Linked DNA regions of Kluyveromyces lactis. The protein of the gene in region 3 binds, or shares a complex with, the protein of the main gene of each other region. Links are inferred from orthologs where the notes say so. Each region holds a gene or a part of one and is shown on either strand. Other genes may lie near its edges.

What was found.
Region 1: SNU23 (region 3) and PRP4 share a complex: the UniProt entries of both Saccharomyces cerevisiae proteins name them as parts of the U4/U6-U5 tri-snRNP complex. The link is inferred for Kluyveromyces lactis from reciprocal best matches to the Saccharomyces cerevisiae genes SNU23 and PRP4.
Region 2: SNU23 (region 3) and SME1 share a complex: the UniProt entries of both Saccharomyces cerevisiae proteins name them as parts of the U4/U6-U5 tri-snRNP complex. The link is inferred for Kluyveromyces lactis from reciprocal best matches to the Saccharomyces cerevisiae genes SNU23 and SME1.
Region 4: SNU23 (region 3) and SNU66 share a complex: the UniProt entries of both Saccharomyces cerevisiae proteins name them as parts of the U4/U6-U5 tri-snRNP complex. The link is inferred for Kluyveromyces lactis from reciprocal best matches to the Saccharomyces cerevisiae genes SNU23 and SNU66.
Region 5: SNU23 (region 3) and SMX3 share a complex: the UniProt entries of both Saccharomyces cerevisiae proteins name them as parts of the U4/U6-U5 tri-snRNP complex. The link is inferred for Kluyveromyces lactis from reciprocal best matches to the Saccharomyces cerevisiae genes SNU23 and SMX3.
Region 6: SNU23 (region 3) and SNU13 share a complex: the UniProt entries of both Saccharomyces cerevisiae proteins name them as parts of the U4/U6-U5 tri-snRNP complex. The link is inferred for Kluyveromyces lactis from reciprocal best matches to the Saccharomyces cerevisiae genes SNU23 and SNU13.
Region 7: SNU23 (region 3) and SMX2 share a complex: the UniProt entries of both Saccharomyces cerevisiae proteins name them as parts of the U4/U6-U5 tri-snRNP complex. The link is inferred for Kluyveromyces lactis from reciprocal best matches to the Saccharomyces cerevisiae genes SNU23 and SMX2.

The regions. Positions count from the first base shown.
Region 1 is NC_006041.1:426,576-430,333, forward strand, and holds PRP4 (U4/U6-U5 snRNP complex subunit PRP4), read left to right. Parts: upstream 1-1,702; coding exon 1,703-3,082; downstream 3,083-3,758. Other genes in the region: DPB2 (DNA polymerase epsilon noncatalytic subunit), read left to right, coding at 1-443; Rab geranylgeranyltransferase BET2, read right to left, coding at 521-1,495; HDA3 (Hda3p), read right to left, coding at 3,139-3,758. UniProt on the Saccharomyces cerevisiae protein: Involved in RNA splicing. Is required for the association of U4/U6 snRNP with U5 snRNP in an early step of spliceosome assembly.
Region 2 is NC_006037.1:204,029-206,955, forward strand, and holds SME1 (mRNA splicing protein SME1), read right to left. Parts: upstream 1,267-2,927; coding exon 985-1,266; downstream 1-984. Other genes in the region: mitochondrial 37S ribosomal protein PET123, read left to right, coding at 1-704; mRNA transport regulator MTR10, read left to right, coding at 1,539-2,927. UniProt on the Saccharomyces cerevisiae protein: Involved in pre-mRNA splicing. Binds and is required for the stability of snRNA U1, U2, U4 and U5 which contain a highly conserved structural motif called the Sm binding site. Involved in cap modification.
Region 3 is NC_006041.1:138,982-141,932, forward strand, and holds SNU23 (U4/U6-U5 snRNP complex subunit SNU23), read left to right. Parts: upstream 1-1,523; coding exon 1,524-2,084; downstream 2,085-2,951. Other genes in the region: proteasome regulatory particle lid subunit RPN6, read left to right, coding at 1-493; TPP1 (polynucleotide 3'-phosphatase), read right to left, coding at 587-1,294; AIM36 (Aim36p), read right to left, coding at 2,275-2,928. UniProt on the Saccharomyces cerevisiae protein: Participates in pre-mRNA splicing. Part of the U4/U5/U6 tri-snRNP complex, one of the building blocks of the spliceosome.
Region 4 is NC_006042.1:798,607-802,640, reverse strand, and holds SNU66 (U4/U6-U5 snRNP complex subunit SNU66), read left to right. Parts: upstream 1-1,377; coding exon 1,378-3,051; downstream 3,052-4,034. Other genes in the region: RNA-processing protein NOP58, read left to right, coding at 1-1,018; SLY41 (Sly41p), read left to right, coding at 3,490-4,034. UniProt on the Saccharomyces cerevisiae protein: Component of the U4/U6.U5 tri-snRNP particle, one of the building blocks of the spliceosome. Required for pre-mRNA splicing.
Region 5 is NC_006041.1:435,657-438,784, forward strand, and holds SMX3 (mRNA splicing protein SMX3), read left to right. Parts: upstream 1-2,062; coding exon 2,063-2,065; intron 2,066-2,176; coding exon 2,177-2,512; downstream 2,513-3,128. Other genes in the region: GPI-anchor transamidase subunit GAB1, read left to right, coding at 565-1,743. UniProt on the Saccharomyces cerevisiae protein: Plays a role in pre-mRNA splicing as a core component of the spliceosomal U1, U2, U4 and U5 small nuclear ribonucleoproteins (snRNPs), the building blocks of the spliceosome.
Region 6 is NC_006041.1:2,008,491-2,011,338, forward strand, and holds SNU13 (RNA binding protein SNU13), read left to right. Parts: upstream 1-1,671; coding exon 1,672-2,052; downstream 2,053-2,848. Other genes in the region: GEF1 (Gef1p), read right to left, coding at 1-1,067; putative E3 ubiquitin-protein ligase HUL4, read left to right, coding at 2,510-2,848. UniProt on the Saccharomyces cerevisiae protein: Common component of the spliceosome and rRNA processing machinery. In association with the spliceosomal U4/U6.U5 tri-snRNP particle, required for splicing of pre-mRNA.
Region 7 is NC_006040.1:658,778-661,404, forward strand, and holds SMX2 (mRNA splicing protein SMX2), read left to right. Parts: upstream 1-1,359; coding exon 1,360-1,383; intron 1,384-1,461; coding exon 1,462-1,659; downstream 1,660-2,627. Other genes in the region: MDJ1 (Mdj1p), read left to right, coding at 1-817; GNA1 (glucosamine 6-phosphate N-acetyltransferase), read right to left, coding at 1,784-2,350; EMA19 (Ema19p), read right to left, coding at 2,366-2,627. UniProt on the Saccharomyces cerevisiae protein: Plays a role in pre-mRNA splicing as a core component of the spliceosomal U1, U2, U4 and U5 small nuclear ribonucleoproteins (snRNPs), the building blocks of the spliceosome.

The DNA.
Region 1 (3,758 bases), about 290 kb from region 3:
ATGATTTAGCAAATAGATTTAAAAGATACAATATTGTTTTCCCTACTGTGGAAGAGGAGAAATATCTGGAAAATGCAGAACTTCAAGAGCAATATTCAAGAAACCCGGATGTTTCAGTAGGCCAGTTAATCGCATTCAAGAATAATTTGCCTGTAAGTGTTTTAGAATCGAGGAAATTGGTGAAAACATTGCTCGATCAACAACATCTATCTCCGTTTTCATCAAGAATTCGACCAACTGTTTGGGATCTTGATTTCACATTGCAGCTATCACCGCTTCCATCGAGTATCATGCTGTGTGACACTAGCGCACCAGCTTTCGATGTAACGTACAACGGATGCAAAACGATCAACCCCGGTAGATTTATTCACAAAAGAGCTGCCAAATATATAGAATTCTTCCCTGCTTCTAAGGTTCTAGTAGAGGAAGAGCTACCATTTTAATTTATCAATATTAAACTACTTGTGGACCTACTTTTTGCGGTCGTTAGCATTCATAATTTATTTAAGTTTCTAAGACACTAATCTGAGTACTTGCGTTGGAAATATTTCGTCACCGTATATGGCATACAGTATACTGGATCAATATCTCTTAATCCTGGATACTTCATTATACTTAATCCTCCTAGACCAAAAACCGTGTGAAATACGTCGACTTCGTTGTCTGGTCTGTCACTAATCCCTCCATTTTTGGGATCCTGACAATGCAAAATGAACTCCGTTAGCTTGGGAAAATCAATCCAATCAGCTTTTTGGAGTATTGAAAGTGTTGATAATACCCACCAGCTATAGCATACATCGGGCAGTTTGCTTGGCCTACCATTTAAGCCCCCCTCTGGAACTTGTCTTTCTGAGAGCCAAACAGCAATATTCTCCTGCTGAGCTGGAGTTAAAGAGTCTAATTTTCCGACGATTGCTAAAGCAGCAATGCAAGTAAATGCCTGAGCAGCATGAGATTCTGCTTCAGGATTTAAGCCAAATCCGCCATCGAAATTGTAACATCTAAGGATATACGAAACTGCTGGTTCTACAACTTCTTTCGTCAATTTGTGTAAAATGGACAAACAGCTCAATGCAGTATATACGAAACGTGTGTCGACTTCACCAAAACTATCACCTTGGAATGAGCCGTCTGCTTTTTGATTGGATAGGATAAATTTTTCCAATTGTTCTTGCTTCTCTGAACCCAAGCGCTCTAAAGCGTTGTAAGTAGCCAAAATCTGAAGCCCTGAAAGAGTCGTTAATAGATGACCATCATGTCTTGGAAACGCAGCAAACCCACCAGTTTTATGATCCCAACAGCTTAGGACAAACTGTATTACATCCTCCTTATTGAATGTTTCGATAGAATCAAGGAGATAGAGGGCTGTCAATCCCCAGTATACCCCATTCAACCTTAGATGTTCTGAGAGCCAGTACTCTAGATCATCTTTCTTAGTATCTAAAGACGCAATATAATCAATGTGTTTATCTCTTAACAACTGCTGTTCACTCATGATCGTTCGATCGACGCCTAGCTTCAGACCCTTTTTACTCGATGGAGTACCTCACTTGTTTTCCAACTTTTGAACTATTCATATTCAGGAATAACGATAAAGTTCATTTTATGAATATGCTTTTAAAGAAGTGAGATGATAAAGAGATGAAATCAAAAAAGTGGCACCGGTAACAACTCACCTTTGGACTATCTGCAGTAACTTCTAATGGTAGAATTAGATGATTTGCAGGTAGATGTTGACTACAAAAACCAGGATGGGCAATCAGTCGGAGATGCTCTGAAAAGATTGGAATTCCAAAGGCAAGAAAGGCTCAAAATTGTGCCTACTCTAGATACAGACGTTAGACGAGCACTAGAGCTAGTGGGAGAGCCCGTTGATATCGCTGGCGAAGATAATTATTCTCGCAGAGATCGACTTTCTGATCTTATTCTTAGCGATCCAAAAGCCAGAGAACGAGTTACAAGGTTAGTAGAGTCAACTTCCAAAGACCAGACGAAAATCGATACTGAAAGAAGTAAAGTAGATGATGAAGACGAGGAGTTCTACACTCCAGCATCACAGCAGTTGATAGAAATGAGGAAGTTTCTTATAATATACTCTATGCAACGCTCTAAGCTGAGGCTTGAGGAGGAGAGACGAAGACTTGTCAGCCAAAATGTGAAAAACGTCATAAGTAAGCGAAGGGACCTGGAAAGTAAATTGAAACAGTTCTCTTTGAAGGGAATGCAGGTGATAGATGAGAAACCTATTTCTGAAATTAATACTTCTCCTGGTGGAGACCTGATGGCTTGTGGCAGTTGGTCCGGAAATTTGTCTCTGGTCGATAATTCGTTGTCCAAAATCTACTGCAATAGATCTTTATCTGGCACAAAGATTAGTGGATTGGATTGGAGCGTGGACTCTAAAAACATTTTTGTCTGTACCCATGATGGACGCATTGTAATATATGATAGTGGTGATGAAACCACAGTTAAGATCTTGTATAAAAATGATGCCAGGTTTGCCCAAGTACGATGCCATCCATGTAATAGTTTTATTGGAAGTACGTCTTTTGACAAAACATGGATCCTGATAGATACTGTGAAACAAGCCCCTATTTTGATTCAGGAAGGTCATTCTGCGGAGGTTTTCTCACTATCTTTTCACAATGATGGCTCATTGGTGAGTACAGCTGGTTTGGATGCAATTGCATTAATATGGGACATACGGTCCGGTAAAAATATCATGTCATTACAGGGACACTCAAAACCTATTTATTCCGTTGACTGGTCCCAAAATGGATATCAGCTTGCGTCTGGTAGTGGTGACGGGACTATAAAGGTTTGGGATATTAGGAAAAAGGGAAATGTGGAAACGATCTTAGCTCACAATAGCATTGTTTCACAAGTCAAATTCAATAAGCAAAACGGAGGATATTTAGTGTCGAGTGGATATGACAAGAAAGTAAATATCTTCAATGATGGGAACTGGATAAAGGAACGAAGCCTTGAAGGGCATCTTGATAAGGTTATGTCAATTGATATTGTAGGTCCTGATATATATAGCGCGGGTTGGGACCGCTCAGTTAACAAATGGGGAGTCTAATTAATTCTACGCAAATTTGTAAAAACGTTAATCATTATGGATGTTAAAATTACGTATCATTTCTTCGATCGGCCATTAGTCGCCTGTCTTCCTCTGCTGGGTTGAATTTTCGATAGTCTATCAGTTATATATCCAAGTTTAGAATGAAGCCCTCCAAGATTTTGCCCTTCCTGTTGTAGTTGTGATTTCAAGAGATCTATTCTCTGTTCAGCACTGGCAACCTTCTTTTTATTTTCGGCTACACTGTCCTCTATTTTCGTTTTCAAGAGCTTGATTTCTTCTCTTAATTTATCTTGTTCTTTGTTGCTTTCATCAACAGATTGAGCGGCTCTTTCTATCTCCTTTTGCATGTATGTTCTCTCAGAAGATTTAGACTCCGAATTTCGTTTTTCTCTCTCGCGGGCATCTTGCAAGTTTGAAATTTCTTCTAGTAAACCCTTCAAAACCTTATGTGGTTCGCTTTTAGACCCTAATTTTGTCATTAAATCATTAATTTCTGAATCTATGAATTCAATCTGTTTGTGCTTCTTTTCTGATTCCTCAAGGAAATCTTTTACCTTAACGTCATCATCTTTTAGCTTCTTTTCGGATTCTTCAAGCTTTTCCTTAATATCATTATAATCCTTATTGACCTTGTTGAAATGATGATTTTGAATAGATTCCATTCTTTCAAAAT
Region 2 (2,927 bases), on a different chromosome or scaffold from region 3:
TGGAGGAAGTTATCTATAACACGGTGAAACCTAAGAGTGAAAATACTACGGCTGCTAGTGAACAGCAGTTATTGAAGCAGAATCAAGCAGAGTTGCGTAGAAAATATTTGAGTGAGTCTTTACGTAACGAAGAACAAAGATTATTAAAGCAGGAAGAGCTATTGAAGAAGAAAGAAAGGGTACTACAAGAACAGAGAGAAGCCGAATTGAAAGAGCTTAACAAAGAACGTTCGAGTAACTTGACCATTCCAACATTGGAGGGCATTATGAATCAACCGCTTATGAGACAAAGGACTGCCGAAGAGCAAGAAATTCTGGATTTGAAGAGAAAGCACAACAAGGAATTGATTGAATTCAAGGCTAAAGAACGCAAACTTGCCAACTTGGTACAGCTTTGTCATGCAGCAGACCATTTCATTGTGACAGAAGAACAACTGGTGGCCAGTGTAGAAAAGGCATTCGCCTCGGACAACCAAGATGTATTAAGAAATAAGTTGTCTTTGTCGACTTCTCAACAAACAGCAAGAAACGAAGGTGAAATTTCGGATGCATTATTTGGTACTTTGGGCAACGGCAAATACGTAGGTTTGCCAATTGTGAAGGAATTTTTATCTGGTGAGATGGAACAATTTAACCAGGAAATTAATACCAAATTGGATGAATTAACTAAACAAGCGGAAGAACGTAAAGACTCTGTCCTTTGAGATATATCTTTTAGATAATATCACTGACACAAAAGAAACCATATGAACTTAAGGTATTCTCCCCAATCTGAGCAACACATTGTAAATAGATCCATAAGATTACGAACAATATATCTTTATTAGCCTTGATAGTGCTTGTCGCCGTTATCGAAATTTCAGTGCCTTTCATTTTTCCGTTATAATATACAGGCTTATATAATTACACGACAGAGTCCGATCAATGCTTCTACACTCTAAGCATCTTTCTTTCATCCTATTATCATTTTCTGAGTAGGCATTATCAATTTGCCACAACAAGTGTTATATTATCACCTTTCAACATAATTCTCCCAAGAAACACTGCTTTATCATCGCTCTCTTTACCACTTTTCGGATCTACAGCTATTTCGAAAGCGTCATCTATTACCACATTCATGAACTCATCAAAGCCTCTGATCTTGCCTCTTATACGTGTCTGTACTTGTTCGTATAACCAAAACGTTACTGTTGTCTGATGATGAAGGTAGTTGTATATGCAATTGATTGGAGGTACCATAGGAGCTCCTACTTTAGAGCCGGACATTTTAGACTTTTTCTAGAATCTTTCGGTGTATTGAAGGTCGATGTTAGTGTAACTATAATCAGATCGCAGTTATCCTTTATTAATGTCAGTCACTAGTGCCATGTTGAATTCGTTTGATATTAGTTTAATAGGATTATTGTTAACATATTAAAAAAATTTTATATATTGAATCAACCAAAACATTTGATCTTACTTATGCACTATAAAAGGAACTCATAAAAACTGCCACAGCAGATACCGTTGAGCAAGAACGACGTGATTGATCAATATTGATGTTGTATCAAATCCCAGATATCAAGAGTGCATTGATTTGTACTCAAAGTGTTTCTGAACAGGAGAAGAAGATACAAGCTTTACAATTTTTGGAGCAATTTCAAAAGAGCATAGAAGCATGGCAAATCTGCTTCGAAGTATTAAGCAAGCATGAAGCAGACAACTTACAGTTGCAAATGTTTGCTTGTCAAACTCTAGTGAACAAAGTCACCTATGATCTAAACCAGGTCAATACCGAATTAGAGAGTTTCAAGGGAAAGCTCTTTGAGTTCATCGCTATGTATGAAGAGAAGATCATAGTAACACAGTTGAACGTGGCACTAGCCCGATTTACCATTCAGTATCTTGATTGGAGGAATCCGCTAGTTGAAATTATTAATACTCTAAATGGTCTTCCGGGAAAGTTACTACTGTTTTTGAAGATTCTCCCAGAGGAAACATTGGATATCAAATCCACTCCTCTATCCCAAGATGAATTTGAGTGTAGAACACACGAACTTATAGATAACATTGGAGAAGACGTATTGAAATTTTTGATTTCATGTTTGGATAGAGTCGGAACTGAAGGCATATCTGCTTCTAAAATCATTTCGTGCTTTGGATCGTGGTGTTATGAATTTCCAATAGAACAGGTATTACAAGTGACTCCATTGATAAACACCGTGTTCCAAGTCTTGCATACTTCATATGATACTGATTCTGATTCTTTTGAAGCTGCAGTAGAATGCTTATGTGTGTTATTAAGAGAAACGAGAGACGCAGCCAACGATACAATCATACATGCGCTTTACGAGCAACTTTTAGCTTTGCAACAAAAGCTATTGCCAATCACAACCATTTCTGACTGGGAAGAATACGAAGAGATTATGGATCCACTCACACGTTTATTCGTTGAAGCTGGCGAAGCGTGGTGTGTTTTTCTTGCAAAGAATCCTGCCTTATTCAAACCATTGGTTGAAGTCATCTTGGTATTAACTTGCAAGAACACTGACCTCGATATCGTTTCGTATACTTTCCCATTTTGGTTTAATTTGAGGCAAATGTTAGTTTTACAACGTTACGCTCAACAAAGAAAAGAATATCAGGATGTATTTATTAATTTAACGAATGGTTTGATTACACATTTGCATTATCCGGAAACTGTTTTTGAAAATAAGGAAGATGAAGATAAATTTAAAGATTTTAGGTATAACATTGGTGATGTACTTAAGTCTTGTGCTGCTGTCTTAGGTTCAACCGTTGCATTGCAGCAACCATATAATCTTATCAACCAATATCTTCAGAAAGAAGATCCTAACACGGTCTGGCAACCACTAGAGGCTGCCTTGTTTGCTGTTCGTACAATGGCTCATGAAATTTCTCATACTGAAAACGTTGTGCTACCCCAA
Region 3 (2,951 bases):
GCTTAATTTGATTGATGAAGTGAAAACTATCTTGAACGCCAAATATACTAAGGAGACCTACCAAAGTCGCGGAATTGACGCCATGAAGGCAGTCGCTGAGGCTTATAATAATAGATCCCTACTGGAGTTCAATACAGCAATGCAAAATTATAAGACAGAATTGATGGGCGATGAACTCATTAGATCACATTTCAATGCATTATACGACACCCTTTTGGAATCAAATCTTAGTAAGATCATCGAACCATTCGAATGTGTTGAAGTATCGCATATCTCAAAGATTATCGGGCTTGATGCTCAACAAGTAGAGGGCAAACTTTCACAAATGATTTTAGACAAAGTTTTCTTTGGTGTGCTTGACCAAGGAAACGGATGGCTTTATATTTATGAGACACCACAACAGGATGCCACTTATGATTCTTCGTTAGAATTGATCAATCAACTCAATGGAGTTGTAGAACAACTCTTTGAAAAAGCCGCTGTATTATACTAAAATTAAAAATTCATTATAATACGCTCATCCTTCAATCATTAAAGTAACTTAGTAAATAAATATATTTTACGTAGGTTTAAGATCATTCGAAATTCAAATAAAGTATTCCTCCGGTACCTTGAAAGGTACGCCCAATATTTTAGCAAACTCTTTGTCACTGTCACTAAAATCATTTGGTCTTCCTGCAGCATCCCCGCAGTAAAATAAAAGTTCAATTGAGTCCGATTGTTCGTCAGAATCTTTAAGAAATTCATCAAACAAACCACGATTGGGTTTTCTCACATTATCAAACATTTCAGGTGTTACCATTGTCCCGTTTATTCTTTTCTTCTGGCCAGAAATAATGTTCTTAACAACTTTATTTGCGTGAGCAGTGCTGGCGGCTTTGCTGCCACCAAAAAGGGAAGCTGGTTTTTTAGTAGCACAGTAAATCCAAATACGATCACACAGTTGAGAATCGTTTTCCGATATGTATTTCAATACTTTGCAAATTTTATCAACGTGTTTTACGCAGCTTTTAGAGGTTCTAGGTTCACTAACAACACCGCCTTGGTTGGAGAAGAAGACGATGTGAAAATCTGGTGTTTCCTTCATTTGTGCCGAAAGTTTAGCAAGTACCTCGGTTTTTCCATATTTCATGAATATCCAATCATCTGATGTCCTACTGAATCGGCCTTTAACTGGTTTGATCACGGTGTGATCAAGGTCAAATGAGATGACCTTCCTTACAGGGGCGGGATCTTTGGGAACCCATTTTATGATATGAGGGAGAATGGTAAGCTTATGAGTAGACTGTGACATGATAGCAAACTGTTACAATTAATATGACAATGGCTGACTCCTTTGAAATACTCTTGTACTTTACTAATTTGTAGTTCCATTTATGCCTTCTTTTGAGATGAAATGACTTAAAAGATCCAATATGGAAAACATCAACTAATTTAATGTTGACATGCATAATAAGTTCCATGACCTAGGAAGAGATCAGGTACTGAGTTCTGAGAAGGAGTACTATTCACTATAAATCAATATGTCATTTGGACGAAGAACATGGAATAGAGAAGAGTATGCTGCCAAGGCAGCAACTTCTCCAGGAGGGCAATCTCATCTTTCATCATTAGACCAGGAACAACTGAAAGCTTTAAAAGATAGATACACAGACTACAATGCTTTACTCGAGTATAATCTACGCGACATCAATAAAAAGACGTTATCAGCCAATCTAAGTCAGCAGAAAAAAGGTAAACAGTTCGGGTTTTACTGTGACATATGTGACTTAACCTTCAAAGACACACTACAATTCATTAACCATTTGAATCACAAATCACATGTTGTACGGTTTGAGAACATATTCAACGAGCCATTGATAAAAGATACGAGGGATAATGATCTAGTACCACTTAATGAGGTACGATCCCAGTTTCATAAATCTGTATCAGCATTTATCGGGGACACTGAATTGAGATCCAATAAACGCAAAGCGGCAAAGAGAGTCAAATGTGAGAAATCTGATGCAGAAATCAAATATCAACCACAGTCTGAAATCGGCAGGTTAATGGGTTTCACAGAATTCGGAAGTTCCAAGAAATAACATAAATATTGACGTTTTTATTCGAAGCATATCTACATCCCACTATTCACAACGTACTTCTGCTGAATGGCAATTAGATACTGATGATATTTACAAAGTTTAATCGAGATAAAGTTGGATGGATTGTTATAGGAAGTCCCCAGATATATGCAAAAGGGTGCCGATGGGGAAAATGGCATGAGGGGTCATTTTAGATGGTCTCAACTTTATCCACGGTTTTAAAGTATTTGGAAACCTGGCCGTCTCCTTCTGAATTTGGTACAATAACTTTGTCGATAACGGAAACCTCATTTTCGAACTTGATCGCATCTTTTATATTGTCTGGGAAGTCAAGTAGATAAACAGTGTCACCCTTTTGACATTTCTCCTTCATATATTTACCTATCAAGACGACAGAGAGACCTGTTGGTAGTTTTTCCATGTACGATTTCCCCTCCTTTTCATATAAATCATTTAAAAGCACATAATATTTATCGTCAGACTTATTTCTGAAGAATTCAATAGCTTCTGAAGGTTTGATAACCTTCGCATCTTCGGGGAATTTCAGTTTCTTGGTTGCAACTCCGGTTTGCACACATCTTAAATTTAAATCATCTTGCTCAAAGATCGAAACTCTTCTTCTTAGACCACTCATCACAGTGTCAAATTCAGAGAATGTGTACGTGTTTTTAGGCTTGTTCTGTTCCAAAGAGTCGACTGCCTTAACAAAAATAGCAGTCCCAACTAAACCAACAAGTAAAATGGTTTTAAAACTTGGTGGTTCTTCAGCTTTATCCATTTTTCCAGACAGCATCCGGCGCATGACCGGAGACTTCAATAATCTTGGTGCAGCGCGTACGAACATATCGGCCTTGATCTTTGTATAGT
Region 4 (4,034 bases), on a different chromosome or scaffold from region 3:
AGATAAAGAATTAAACACTTACGCTATGAGATGTAAGGAATGGTACGGTTGGCATTTCCCAGAATTGGCCAAGATTGTTACTGATTCTGTTGCTTACGCCAGAATAATCTTGACCATGGGTATTAGAGTTAATGCTGCTGAAACTGACATGTCTGAAATTTTGCCTGAAGAAATTGAAGAGAGAGTCAAGACCGCTGCCGAAGTCTCCATGGGTACTGAAATTACCCCAGTTGATTTGATTAATATCAAGTGTTTAGCCGAACAAATTGTTGAATTTGCTGCCTACAGAGAACAACTTTCTAACTATTTGTCTTCAAGAATGAAGGCTATTGCTCCAAATTTGACTCAATTAGTTGGTGAATTGGTTGGTGCTAGATTGATCGCACACTCTGGTTCTTTAATCTCTTTGGCCAAGTCTCCAGCTTCCACCATCCAAATCTTGGGTGCTGAAAAGGCTCTTTTCAGAGCATTGAAAACTAAGCATGACACTCCTAAATATGGTCTATTGTACCACGCTTCCTTGGTTGGCCAAGCATCTGGTAAGAACAAGGGTAAGATTGCCAGAGTTTTGGCTGCTAAGGCTGCCGTTTCTTTGCGTTACGATGCTTTGGCTGAAGATAGAGACGATTCTGGTGACATCGGTTTGGAATCCAGAGCTAAGGTAGAATCAAGATTGTCCCAATTAGAAGGCAGAGACTTGAGAACCACACCAAAGGTCGTCCGTGAGCACAAGAAGACTGAAATCACAGAGGCTAGAGCATACAACGCAGATGCTGACACCGTGTCTTCAGCTGCTGCTCCTGCTGACTCTGATGATGAATCCGAGGACGAGGAAGAAACCAAGGAAGAAAAGAAATCTAAGAAGGATAAGAAGGATAAGAAGAGAAAGAGAGACGATGATGAAGAGTCTAAGGAATCTAAGAAGTCTAAGAAGGAGAAGAAAGACAAGAAGGAAAAGAAGGAAAAGAAGGAAAAGAAAGAAAAAAAGGATAAGAAATCTAAGAAGGAAAAGAAATAGATATAGTATTCACATTAAAACCCCACTCTTTTGCATTAAATCTCTAATAACCTCGTATAAATCTGTTCCATTACATACGAACATACTATGTGTGTACCTCTGTAAATTAGTCTGTATCAAATTCAAACAAAATATAATAATTGAATTATTGTCATACGCTGTACTCTTCTTCTCATTGTCATCGTCAATGGCTTTGATAGTTACATCAAAATATTCACTGATGAAAATGTTGAAATATACAATTCTTAAATTCGGACAAGTTGGCGATGAGATGAGGCAGAAAGAAAGCAACAGGATTTGATAATAAGGATATTCGACCACAATACGAATTCTACGAGGCATACAGTTACTTCAAAGCCATGGGTAAGATTACTTCTATATCTTTGGAAGAAACAAATCGAATTAGGGCAAGTTTAGGTTTGAAGACTATACCTAGGCCCACTGAGACGTCAACAGAATCAAAAGAAGGTGCATCTGATACAAATAGGAAAGTACGAAGATCTAGTCAGCTAAGTTCACGTCCCTCCGAAAAGGATTGTGCTTCTGGAAAAATAAATGGAAGCGCTCAAGATCGTGATAAAAAGATTGGTCAACTAAAACAAAGAATATATGAATCAAAGGAAGCAGTGGACCAAAGAGCGACTACTGATAAAGAATCTATTGATGACTGGCTTTCCAAAATTGGGAAACCTATCACTCACAAAGAATCTTCTGCTGAAAATGCTACTGTACATGATGACATTACGCATCACCATATCCCAGTATCAGATGAACTGAAATCTATTGCTGAACAGAAAGCAGTCATTTTTACATTGAAAGAAACTTCAGTGACAAACGACGAAGAGAATATTGATGACGAAAACATATTAGAGAATGAGAAGCTAGTTCATGATAAACAGGATGCCAAAAATCTTAAGCTACGGCAATTGAATAAAGATAGAAAACTAAACAAAATCTCCATCTTTGATTACAGCGATGAGGCTAATGATACAAACTCAAGATCTGACATACCATTACACGACTCCTTAGTAAATGATAAACCATTACCTGTTCACCAGTCTCTCCCTAAGAGGGTCAAAATTGAAAGTGACTCAGATGATGAGCAACCATATCAAGATTACGCACCAGTCAAGATTAAAAGGCGAAAGAAGAAATCAAATCAAAACCAGAAACCGAGAAGAATAGACACAGCGAGAATGGTGAAAGTTGATCTTTTGGAAGATGATGAGGATTTCTCAGACCGGCCAATTCAGGCAGTTGTCAAAGTCAAACAGAAACGCAGTAATGAGGAAATAACAGGGATAAAGAATTCATTGGAGTTGGAAAAACTCGAAGGACAGCAAAGAAGCAAAGGAATTCATATGTTGAACAATAGTGATAAAGGAATTCTTCTGGATGAAACCGATGAATTTTTGGATTCTTTGAAGGCGAACGTTCTTGACAGAGAACCTGTTAATGATGATTTGCCCATAAAAATCGATTTGAAACCAGTGCAAAAAGATAAAACGGGAACTATTCCAGCAACATTAGTCACCGATAACGATATCACGCAACCTGATTTCTCAGGAGGTGTGGCAGGAATGTTGAACTTCTTGAAGGAACGAAATATAATTAAGCAAGACGATCGCCCCAATATGGGAAGCGACAGTAAAAAACACGGAACGGATGTCAGGAAAGAGTTTGAGATCTTAAACGGCATTGTGAATTCCCTTAAGACTGTTGACGAAAAGTTGGACTCCAATGATGTAAACTTTTCTGAGGACGAATTGCGTAAGATTAAAGCTGCGCAAGCGGAAGAAATGGCATTGAAAATTCAACGTATACAAGAGGAAAAACTAAGAGACTACAACCCAACGGTCGAACTCGCATATCAGGATTCCGAGGGTAATGAGTTGAAAACTAAAGAGGCCTATAAACAACTTTCTCAAGCATGGCATGGGACAAAATCCAGTAAGAAGACTTTGGAAAGACAACGGAAGAAAATGGCGGACAGAAAGAAACAATTGGAAAGAGACTCATACTTGGGACTATAGAACCTTACATATCACACTTATTCAAAGTAATTAGAGTTAAAACCTATGGCATTTTGAATTGACGCTTCCTAGAAAATTGTCTTGCTCTGCCCACAGCAATCACGAGCTAGCACCATTCTGCAGAGAACCCTTTGTGCTTGGCTTTCCACGTGACTGCCAAAAAACGTTAACAACGTCAGCAAGCAAAAACATCACATCGGTCAGAAAGAAAGAAAAAAGACTGGAAATATATAATATAATAACATGGCATCAATTTTTGGCGACTTGTAATAGAAAGAGATACTTCTTACATAGTGACAGTCGGCTCTAAAATCGCTGCTCGCTCCATAAAGTAACAGTTCTTTTCGATCTATTCTATCGTTTGCTAAATTATTCTCATTCAACTTCGTTCCACTCGCTTTATTGATTTTAAGAAGGTGTGAATAAAATAAGCGAAAAATGATTGTAACTTCCAAGAGCGTCACTTCGAAGCGCCGTCCTTCGATCAATAAAACATTTTCAGATGTTAACTTTGTCAACCAGGTACAAATACCGTTCCAGGAAAATTACAGGTCTCATAAACATTCAACTTCGTTCAATGAGGTCAGAAGACTGCAAAATCAGACGTGGAAAGAGCAATTTGTCAATCTATTTCCCAAGGATGTACAAGAGTATTTACCGGAAGTGAATGTTCACATATCTATTTTATGCCTTATATGGTATATGACTTCTTCTGTTTCATCAAACCTGTCAAAAGCCATTTTATCCCGATTTCCACATCCTGTTGGTTTAACGGAATTGCAGTTCCTTCTAAGCGCATCGCTATGTCTCGCGTTTGTAACGTTTGCTAACTATTTGCATGCACCACAGGTATCTTCATCAAAATTGAAGAATACAGTTCTAAACTTCCCGGAAGGAATTCTACCCACTTATTTGAATGGATCATTTTCGAGATGCATATTAAACACTTTCCTGGTACCATCTAAAGTCATATGGTATACAAC
Region 5 (3,128 bases), about 300 kb from region 3:
CAAATCCCTAGCACTCACCTTAGCCTGAGCAATTGGACTTTTACAGGCTACTCTGGTTCTCTTTTTGTTGTGTTGATAAATCCTGTGTATTGCTAGATATTTTTTTCATCAAAACATTTCTTTCAAGGTCAGAAAATGCCAAATAATGCAAAACAAAAAATGACCCACTAAGGAAAGGCTTGAACTCAGATCTCTGTGCCTCAGTGCTGTAAGATTATCGGTTAAACACAGTATTGTTGTGACTAAACCTGACATTCGACTGCAGGTTGCAAAATTCTGCTGTTTTAGAAGCGAGTATCTTAATCACGTGATATGTAAACACGTATTAGAGTAAACTGTTCACGTGTCCGGGTAATGTTTGTGTGGATCACTTTTTGTATTACCATTGATTTAACTGATGTACTTCATTTCAATACAATAAGCTTTCAAATATGCATAATTTGTACTGCAATTACGAAGCTCGGTTCACGATTGGTTTGTTTTTTTGCATTGAACGGTGATACGATTCTGAGAGGATACGAAGTGACCCTACTGTGTTGACTTGTTGTGTCGCTTGAGGTGATTATGGTTTCGTCCGAATGGCAGGTTGTATGGGCTTGTTTTGCGTCCAGATTGGCTGTTTCGTACCTGTTCCCTTCTTTGCAGCAGCAATTGGACAGAACCGTTGAGTTTTCTACTCCGGTTACAAGCTATAGATCTCTGCAAGAAGGTGCGTATCTTTTACTGCATAATTTGCCCATTTATGATGGTGGTGTTGTGCATCATGTGCCTCTGCTGGTAGCTTTAATGGCATTCGTTCAACAAGCGGAGTTTCTAATGCCCGTTTTGTTTGCGGCCATGGACACTCTAATAGCGTATCAATTGATGCAAATAGCTAAGATATATCAACGCCAATTGCAAATTCCTAGTTATATTCCAGGTGTGGTTTATGCAGTGAACCCTTTGGTACTTTTATCATGTGTCTCACAATCGACATGTCTATTTGTGAACCTTTCCATTTCTACTTCTTTACTATTTGCGTTATCTAGACAGTTCTCACTGTCAGCCATATGCATTGCGTTGGCTGGTTATTTATCACCTTACGCTTATCTACTGTTGATCCCATTGGCAGGAATCTGTGGATCAAATTCTTTCGGCCTTGTTGTCAAGTGTACATTGGTATCGATTGTTTTGCAGTTGATCAGTTTCAAGTTAAATAACGATAACTGGAACTATTTGACTTCAACATACTGGATATTGATTACTTTCAGTAAGATAAGGCCAAATCTAGGGTTGTGGTGGTATTTCTTTATTGAAATGTTCGAATTTTTCATCCCATTTTTCAAATCTGTGTTCAACATATTTGTTGTTTCATTTATCCCACCTTTCACTATTAGATTCAATCAGCAATCGTTTTACGCATTTGTTCTATGTCTAGGTTGGATTACGCTCACCAAATCATACCCAACGTTAGGTGACGGAGGGTTTTTCTTAAGTTTTATCCCATTTTTCAAACCGATCTTTGGGTATCTAAGATATCCAGTCATATCAACCCTTTTATTCATTCATGCCATCATTTTGTCACCAATCTTCTACTACCTATGGATTGGATTAGGCTCCGGTAATAGTAACTTTTTCTATGCCATTTCTTTGGTTTATGCGTTAGCCATCTCGTCAGTGATTGTGGATTTGACGTGGGCCATGTTAAGAATTGAATACGATTCAGGTAAACCAAACCTTTCATTAAAACTGACTCAAATTTGAATGAACCCTGTTCCTTCTGTTGGAAGAAACATATCGTATTGTCATTATTTAATATATATCTAAGTATGACTTACCCAGTGCATGGCATAAAAACTTTTGAAAACTGTCCGGACTACTTTGGTTTGTTTTATTTGTTCCCTTGGTAGGGCATCTAATATTTCCATGCCATATTGAAAAACATGAAAATACAGTATTGCAAAAAGATAGACAACGAAAACATTACGTAGCAACCAACAGACGTAATAAAACCTTTAACAGATTCTCGAATTATATCGTGTAATCGATACATATCAGAACACCCGCGCATTAACGTATTGAAATGGTAAGTTTTCTTGTTCCATACTTTTTTGGTCGCAGCTAGGACGATTATGTCCATCTGCGATCGATGAATCCACAGATTTTGTCACCTTACTAACCAATTTAAACGTTGCAGGATCCAGAGGAATTCAAACCAATTAACCCTAAACCCTTTTTACATCAATTGATAGACAAAGATGTGCTGGTGACACTCAAATTCAATAAAATACAATATAAAGGAAGACTTGTATCGGTAGATACATATTTCAATCTACAACTAACAGATGCGGAAGAGATCATAAATGATGTCTCAAGTGGGAAAGTTGGGGACATTTTCATCAGATGTAATAACGTGCTATACGTAGGAGAGGATGTGAACAAGCAAAGTGATCAACCCCCTACGCCGACTGGAACAACAGAGAAATCTGACGATAAAGAGGAAAATGGAGAACTCGCAGAAGAAGCGAATTAATATAGCACTAGTCTGAATATTATTGAAGCAAACAAGGAAACATCGGAATAATTATGGATTCACTGTATAGCTTTCCTCAGTTGTAATAGAATTAGGGAACTGCTTATCTTAATAAAGGGAATATTAGTATTAGTATAATTAATGATAGTATAGTTTATGTAGGTTTTACAATTCAAAGGCTCATTCTAAAAAAATCTCTAGAGATTAATACCTTATGTTTTTCATTCCAAGAAGGTCTCGTTCACGGTGTAACAGCTGTTCCAGCCACCATGGATTTCTTATTGCTTACTAGTTTTCCAGTTGAGTTGGGGTAGTGATTTCCAAAAAAAATGCAAAAATGAAACGGACAGGAATTGAACCTGCAACCCTTCGATTGCAATTTTGTTTCCATAGAAATTTCCAGGATTTAACTGGAGTCGAAAGCTCTACCATTGAGCCACCGCTTCATTCTTAAGGTTTTTATCTATAACATCTTCTATATGAAATGGAGTGGCAGCATTCCTTATTTATAATAGTCACTTTAGGCCAGAGTATATTGCTAAGGTGAACCTGGAGCATTTCAACTGAATTAGGTGTCGTCGGTACCAGTGTTTTTTAACAGAATTGAATTACGCTT
Region 6 (2,848 bases), about 1.9 Mb from region 3:
TTGCCATATAAACCACCAAAAATTCCAAGAAGGATGAATATTGGGATTTCTTCCACATGCCATTCTCTATCATAGGTGACTTCAAAAACAACGATCTTACCATTTCTAGATGGATCAATATATTGTAGAGCAGAAATACCTGCCAGAGCAATATAATACGACTTCCACAAGGCAGATAACTTGAAAGGAATAGAAGCTGACATCTCTTCAAGTGCAAATAAGACACCTCCAATAGGTGCACCAAAAGCTACTGCAACACCACCTGCCGTCGAAGCTGTCAAGTATTCGGATTGTTCTGGGAAGGCCATCTCCTTGCTCAAGAGCCAATTAGTAATTACATAACCACAACAGGTAGCATAGTGAACAGATGGTCCCTCTTTACCAACACTTAAATCAGAAGAAATGGCAAGCGGTAAAGCGACAGATTTTACTATAAGGGTCTTCAAATTCAAAAACTCCGGGGTATATTGGAAACCTGATACCCAGGATTTAATTTCTGAAATACCAGATCCAGTGGCAAACGGTGCAATGTGTAGGACCATCAGACAACTAATAGTTGCAAATGTGACCGATAAGAACATGAATAGCAAAAATGAAAAGATTGGATTGGTTGCTTCTACCCAAATACCTTTTTCGATACATTCGCTTTGGGATCTTTTAAAGAATATTTCTGCGGCATTGCCAGCCGAACTTATTATGGAACCATAACTCCTTTTACTGATCTCTTCTTTAGGACAGCAGAATGCCTTGTTTAACAACCAATTTCTAGCACAATGTCCAGATTTCCAGTTTACTAACAATTCAGTGAATATTTGTAAAAAACCAGCAATACCGCCAATGGAAAGCCCAATGGCAGTCAAAGTAATGAAACTGCTACCTCTTTTCCATATTAACCTGCGGTACTCATACCAACTCGAACGCGGTATATCAAATTCGTCATGCGATGTTCCCTTGGACAATTCACGCTTCTCTTCCTCAATCCAATCCACAGAAGTGAACTTATCGAAATTACCGACTTCTGGTATATTTCGCAGAGCCTGCTCCTCATTTACCTCTTGGTCAGTCATAGCTAGCTATTGCTCATCAATTGGGTCATACCTAAGTCAAGGGCAATACTATGAGTTTATTCATAAATGAGTTGATAAATTTACATATTGTAATACGTACATTTTTCAATACAAAGAAATATGCACCTTTGAAATTAGGTAAAGAACTGAGAGTGAAAGCAGCTCTTCCTGGGGAAGTATGAAGCATACGATGGGGAACAACAACTACAGACTGCGTGTTTTAGACCATAATAGAGTACTATAGCAATGGCGGAGAATGGCCAAATGATCACAATAGGAGGAATGTATATCGTTCTTCTGAATTAATATAGTGAAACAGCCGTACATTACACCAGTTTGTGATCCCATTTGTTTCTTTTTGCTCATCAGTCGAGGAATTCGAAAATTTTCAAAAATTGAAAAACTAAAGAAAATGATTTCAAGAGACTAACCTCATCTCATCTCGTTCCATCTCATCTCACTTTATGATAAAACTTTTTTTAGACTTGGACTTGATCCGATCTTATTTCTAGTCTTAAAACACCAGATTCAAGCGAGCTTTTCATTCTTGCAAGGAACTTGAACTGACCCAATCGGATACTTCACTTCATATTATAAAGAAATAATGTCTGCTCCAAACCCAAAGGCTTTCCCATTGGCTGATGCCACCTTGTCCCAACAAATCTTGGATGTTGTTCAACAAGCTTCCAACATGAGACAATTGAAGAAGGGTGCTAACGAAGCTACCAAGACTTTGAACCGTGGTATTTCCGAATTCATTATCATGGCTGCTGACTGTGAACCTATTGAAATCTTGTTGCACTTGCCATTGTTGTGTGAAGATAAGAACGTTCCATACGTCTTTGTTCCATCCAGAACTGCTTTGGGTAGAGCTTGTGGTGTTTCCAGACCAGTTATTGCTGCTTCTATTACCACTAACGATGCTTCTGCTATCAAAAGCCAAATCTATGCCGTTAAGGACAAGATTGAAACTTTGTTGATTTAAGAAGGATTTGCACATTTCGTGATTTCCTTTTCTTATTCTTTATATCAATCGTTTAAGGAGTTAACCGCTTTGTGGGGGGTTTGCATAGCAAAGAAAAGATTTACTGCACGTTCATTGATTCAAGTGATCGACAGGTAGATTTTTTTTTTACGACCTCTGTATATTAAACATATATATTACAATTAATACAACTTTTTGATACATTTGCATCCTTCTTAACAATGACATCAACATCTGATGGTTCTAGTTAGTGGTCAGTACATAGTTTTTTTTTGTCTGTTCAAATTAAGAAATGGTTACAGGCCTGTGTATTCCAGATGATATTGTCAGTTGGTAAAAAAAAGTAATAAATTTGACACAATCTTTTGTGCTTTCGACTATCCAACCCTAAATTTACAAGTTTGTTGAAATGAACTTAGAGGAAGAAGTCTGACTGTCCATCAGTAGCTGCTCGAATATGTTCAAGTTTAACCCATTACACATTGTTGGTAGGGAAAAGATAAAAATCCGCTATCAAAGTTCGGATAGGTTGGATTGTGAAGACCCGCCAAAATTTAGGGAAACTCGATGTAGATGTTGCGGAACCTTGTTACGACATCCTATAGACGCAGTTAAGTTCAAATGTACAATATGTGAGGTGACTGTTGTTTTGAGACAAACAGCAAATTCTAGGGATACTGAGGGCAAGATACTGCCGGACCTTGAACAGTTATCCAATATAGTTGGTCAATGTCTCGAATCGTATAAGAAAGATCAGACAGGAGATGAGACCCCCGCTAAAGAGCTTAACAGCTAC
Region 7 (2,627 bases), on a different chromosome or scaffold from region 3:
TTCGTCATGTGATGGAAGTGGGTTGAAAGCTGGACATTCGAGAAGTGTTTGTCCTACATGTCATGGTACAGGTACTCAGGTACATGTAAGAGCAGGTTTCCAAATGGCCTCTACTTGTCAAACATGTGATGGTGAGGGTTCAACTATTAAGGACAGCGATAAATGTGGTACCTGTCATAGCCACGGTTTCAAATTGAATTCAAATAAAACTATCACCGTAGACTTACCTCACGGACTTCAGGACGGTGACACAATTAGAGTACCTAACCAAGGTAGTTACCCCGGTATGGCTATCGATCCGTCCATGAAATCTGAATTGCATTTAACCAGAGGCGATTTGTTGATTCGTGTCAGAGTCAGGAAAGACACAAGATTCCAAGTTTCAAATAATTACGACATCATTTACACTCAGGAAATCCCAATTACAACGGCAGCACTAGGTGGCGTCATTGAAGTACCCACCGTAGAGGAAGAAAAGATCAGATTGAAGGTCAGCTCTGGTACTCAACACGATCAAGTCATCAGAATTCCAAATAAGGGTGTCCCTCGTGGAGCTAGAGGTGACAGGGGTGACATGCTTGTCAAGTTCAAGATTGTTATCAAAAAACCAAAGGATGAAACAGAACGTTATCTATGGGAGACCTTGGCCCACTTGACCAATGATACCACTGCAAGAAGGACCATTACTCCCTCTGGATCGTCGGCTAAGGACAACTCTTCCTCTGCTGATAAAGACACAGTTGAAAACAATGAAGGAACCATCAAGAAATTGGAAAATTTCTTGTCTAACACTTTAAAGAAGATCAGAGGGGAATGAAATCCTTAAATCGCATATATGCTCTCCCGTCATACATTCCACCTTCATTCTTTCATAATTCTTTGATTGGATGAACTAATTACGACATTGGCATTCTCATTATTCATGTACCACTTACAGCAGTCATAGCCAGTAATTGCATATACTGCACATTATTTTATAAAACCCTTTAACATCATGTAAATACCAATTTCCCTATATATATATATAATTGCACTTAGCGCATAATACTTATCGTTTTGATATTCTCTTACTAGTTATCCCTACTTACCATATTTAGCTCGGGATTGAAATTCATGCCAATGACAACGAATGTTTTCAGTAAGGGTCGATATGCTTTAGTAACTTATTCTGACCATCGTTGTCTTCTTAACATTGTGACATTGAAAATTACTTTTGAATGGAAAAAGCATAATTATGTACAAAATTCATCAATTGAAATATACTGAAGATAAATTTCGAAGGACTTTTGCCAAGAGTTAAGAGACTATATCTACGACTTATCACTTCCGTACGACCCATTATAAACCATCCAATATTCCATGACATCTCCAGATTTGAGAAAAGTATGTTTACCCCTGTTTTCCAGGAAAAATCTTATCAGAATTTAAATTACTAACTATAATATGATTCGTTGCAAACAGTACATGGACAAGAAACTCATTCTACAGCTTAACGGCAATAGGAAAATTATTGGAATATTACGAGGATATGATGCATTTTTGAACTTAGTACTGGATAATCCAATACAGATTTTCGAAGAAGGAGAGGTCCAAATGGGACCCCAGACTGTTGTTAGAGGTAACTCCATTGTATCGATAGAACCTCTTGACAGTTTGTAAGAGCAGAAGGGAGACAAATACAACTCAATGTGTCGGAACACTTTACTTAGTGACATTTACGTACAATGAATTATGCTAGTAGAAAGGAAGGATAGATATGATAGAGCGCACACTGGTTACAACATCATTTGTCGAATCTGATTTGCATTTCGACACCAGCTTTTTTCAATCCACATTTCTCATAGAATCCAACATTACTTTCATCACAATCAAGAATAACTTTATAGCATCCATACTCGTTAGCTAATTTGTATAAATACTGAATTAATATCAATCCCAATTTCTTCCCCTGTTGATCTTTTCTCACTGCAATGTCTTCAATATGACCAACAAGCCCACATTCGTGAATAACTTTTTTCTCGACTAGCACGTTTCCTGTGGCGACAACTTCCCCATTTGTGTCAACGATCACAGTGCTATTGTACATAGGTATATCTCCTATCGTGACTGAATCCCAATGGTCTATTAGTGAATGGAATTGATCTTGGCTCACATCACCAACCATCGTTAGCACTTTCAGCACAGATGTAACCCCAGAAAAATCATCTTTCTTGGTTCTTCTAATTGTGTATCCTTCTGGTAATGACATGGTAAGAATTCCAATTAACGGCAGGATGATGGTAGAAATGAATGGTAATATCAATTGTTGATGTAACAAAGAGACTATAAAGGTTCTTTTATCATGGTTCATATTTAATCATTGTGCCTATACAAAGAATAATGCTGGAATTAGAACATAAGGAACGTAGACCATCGTTAGCGCCAGTTTGTCCGGGTTACTCAATGACACGTGATCGGTATTCATCGTGGCTGGATAGTACCCATAGGCCCAAACGTACCATATACAAAAACTAGTGGTGGTGATGACATTGAATGCATAGCATTTAGATAGACGGTCCACTGTGAATAAAGTTCTTTTGATAGTTTTTGACTTTGACAAGTTTAGCAGCTGGTATAAGCAATATATG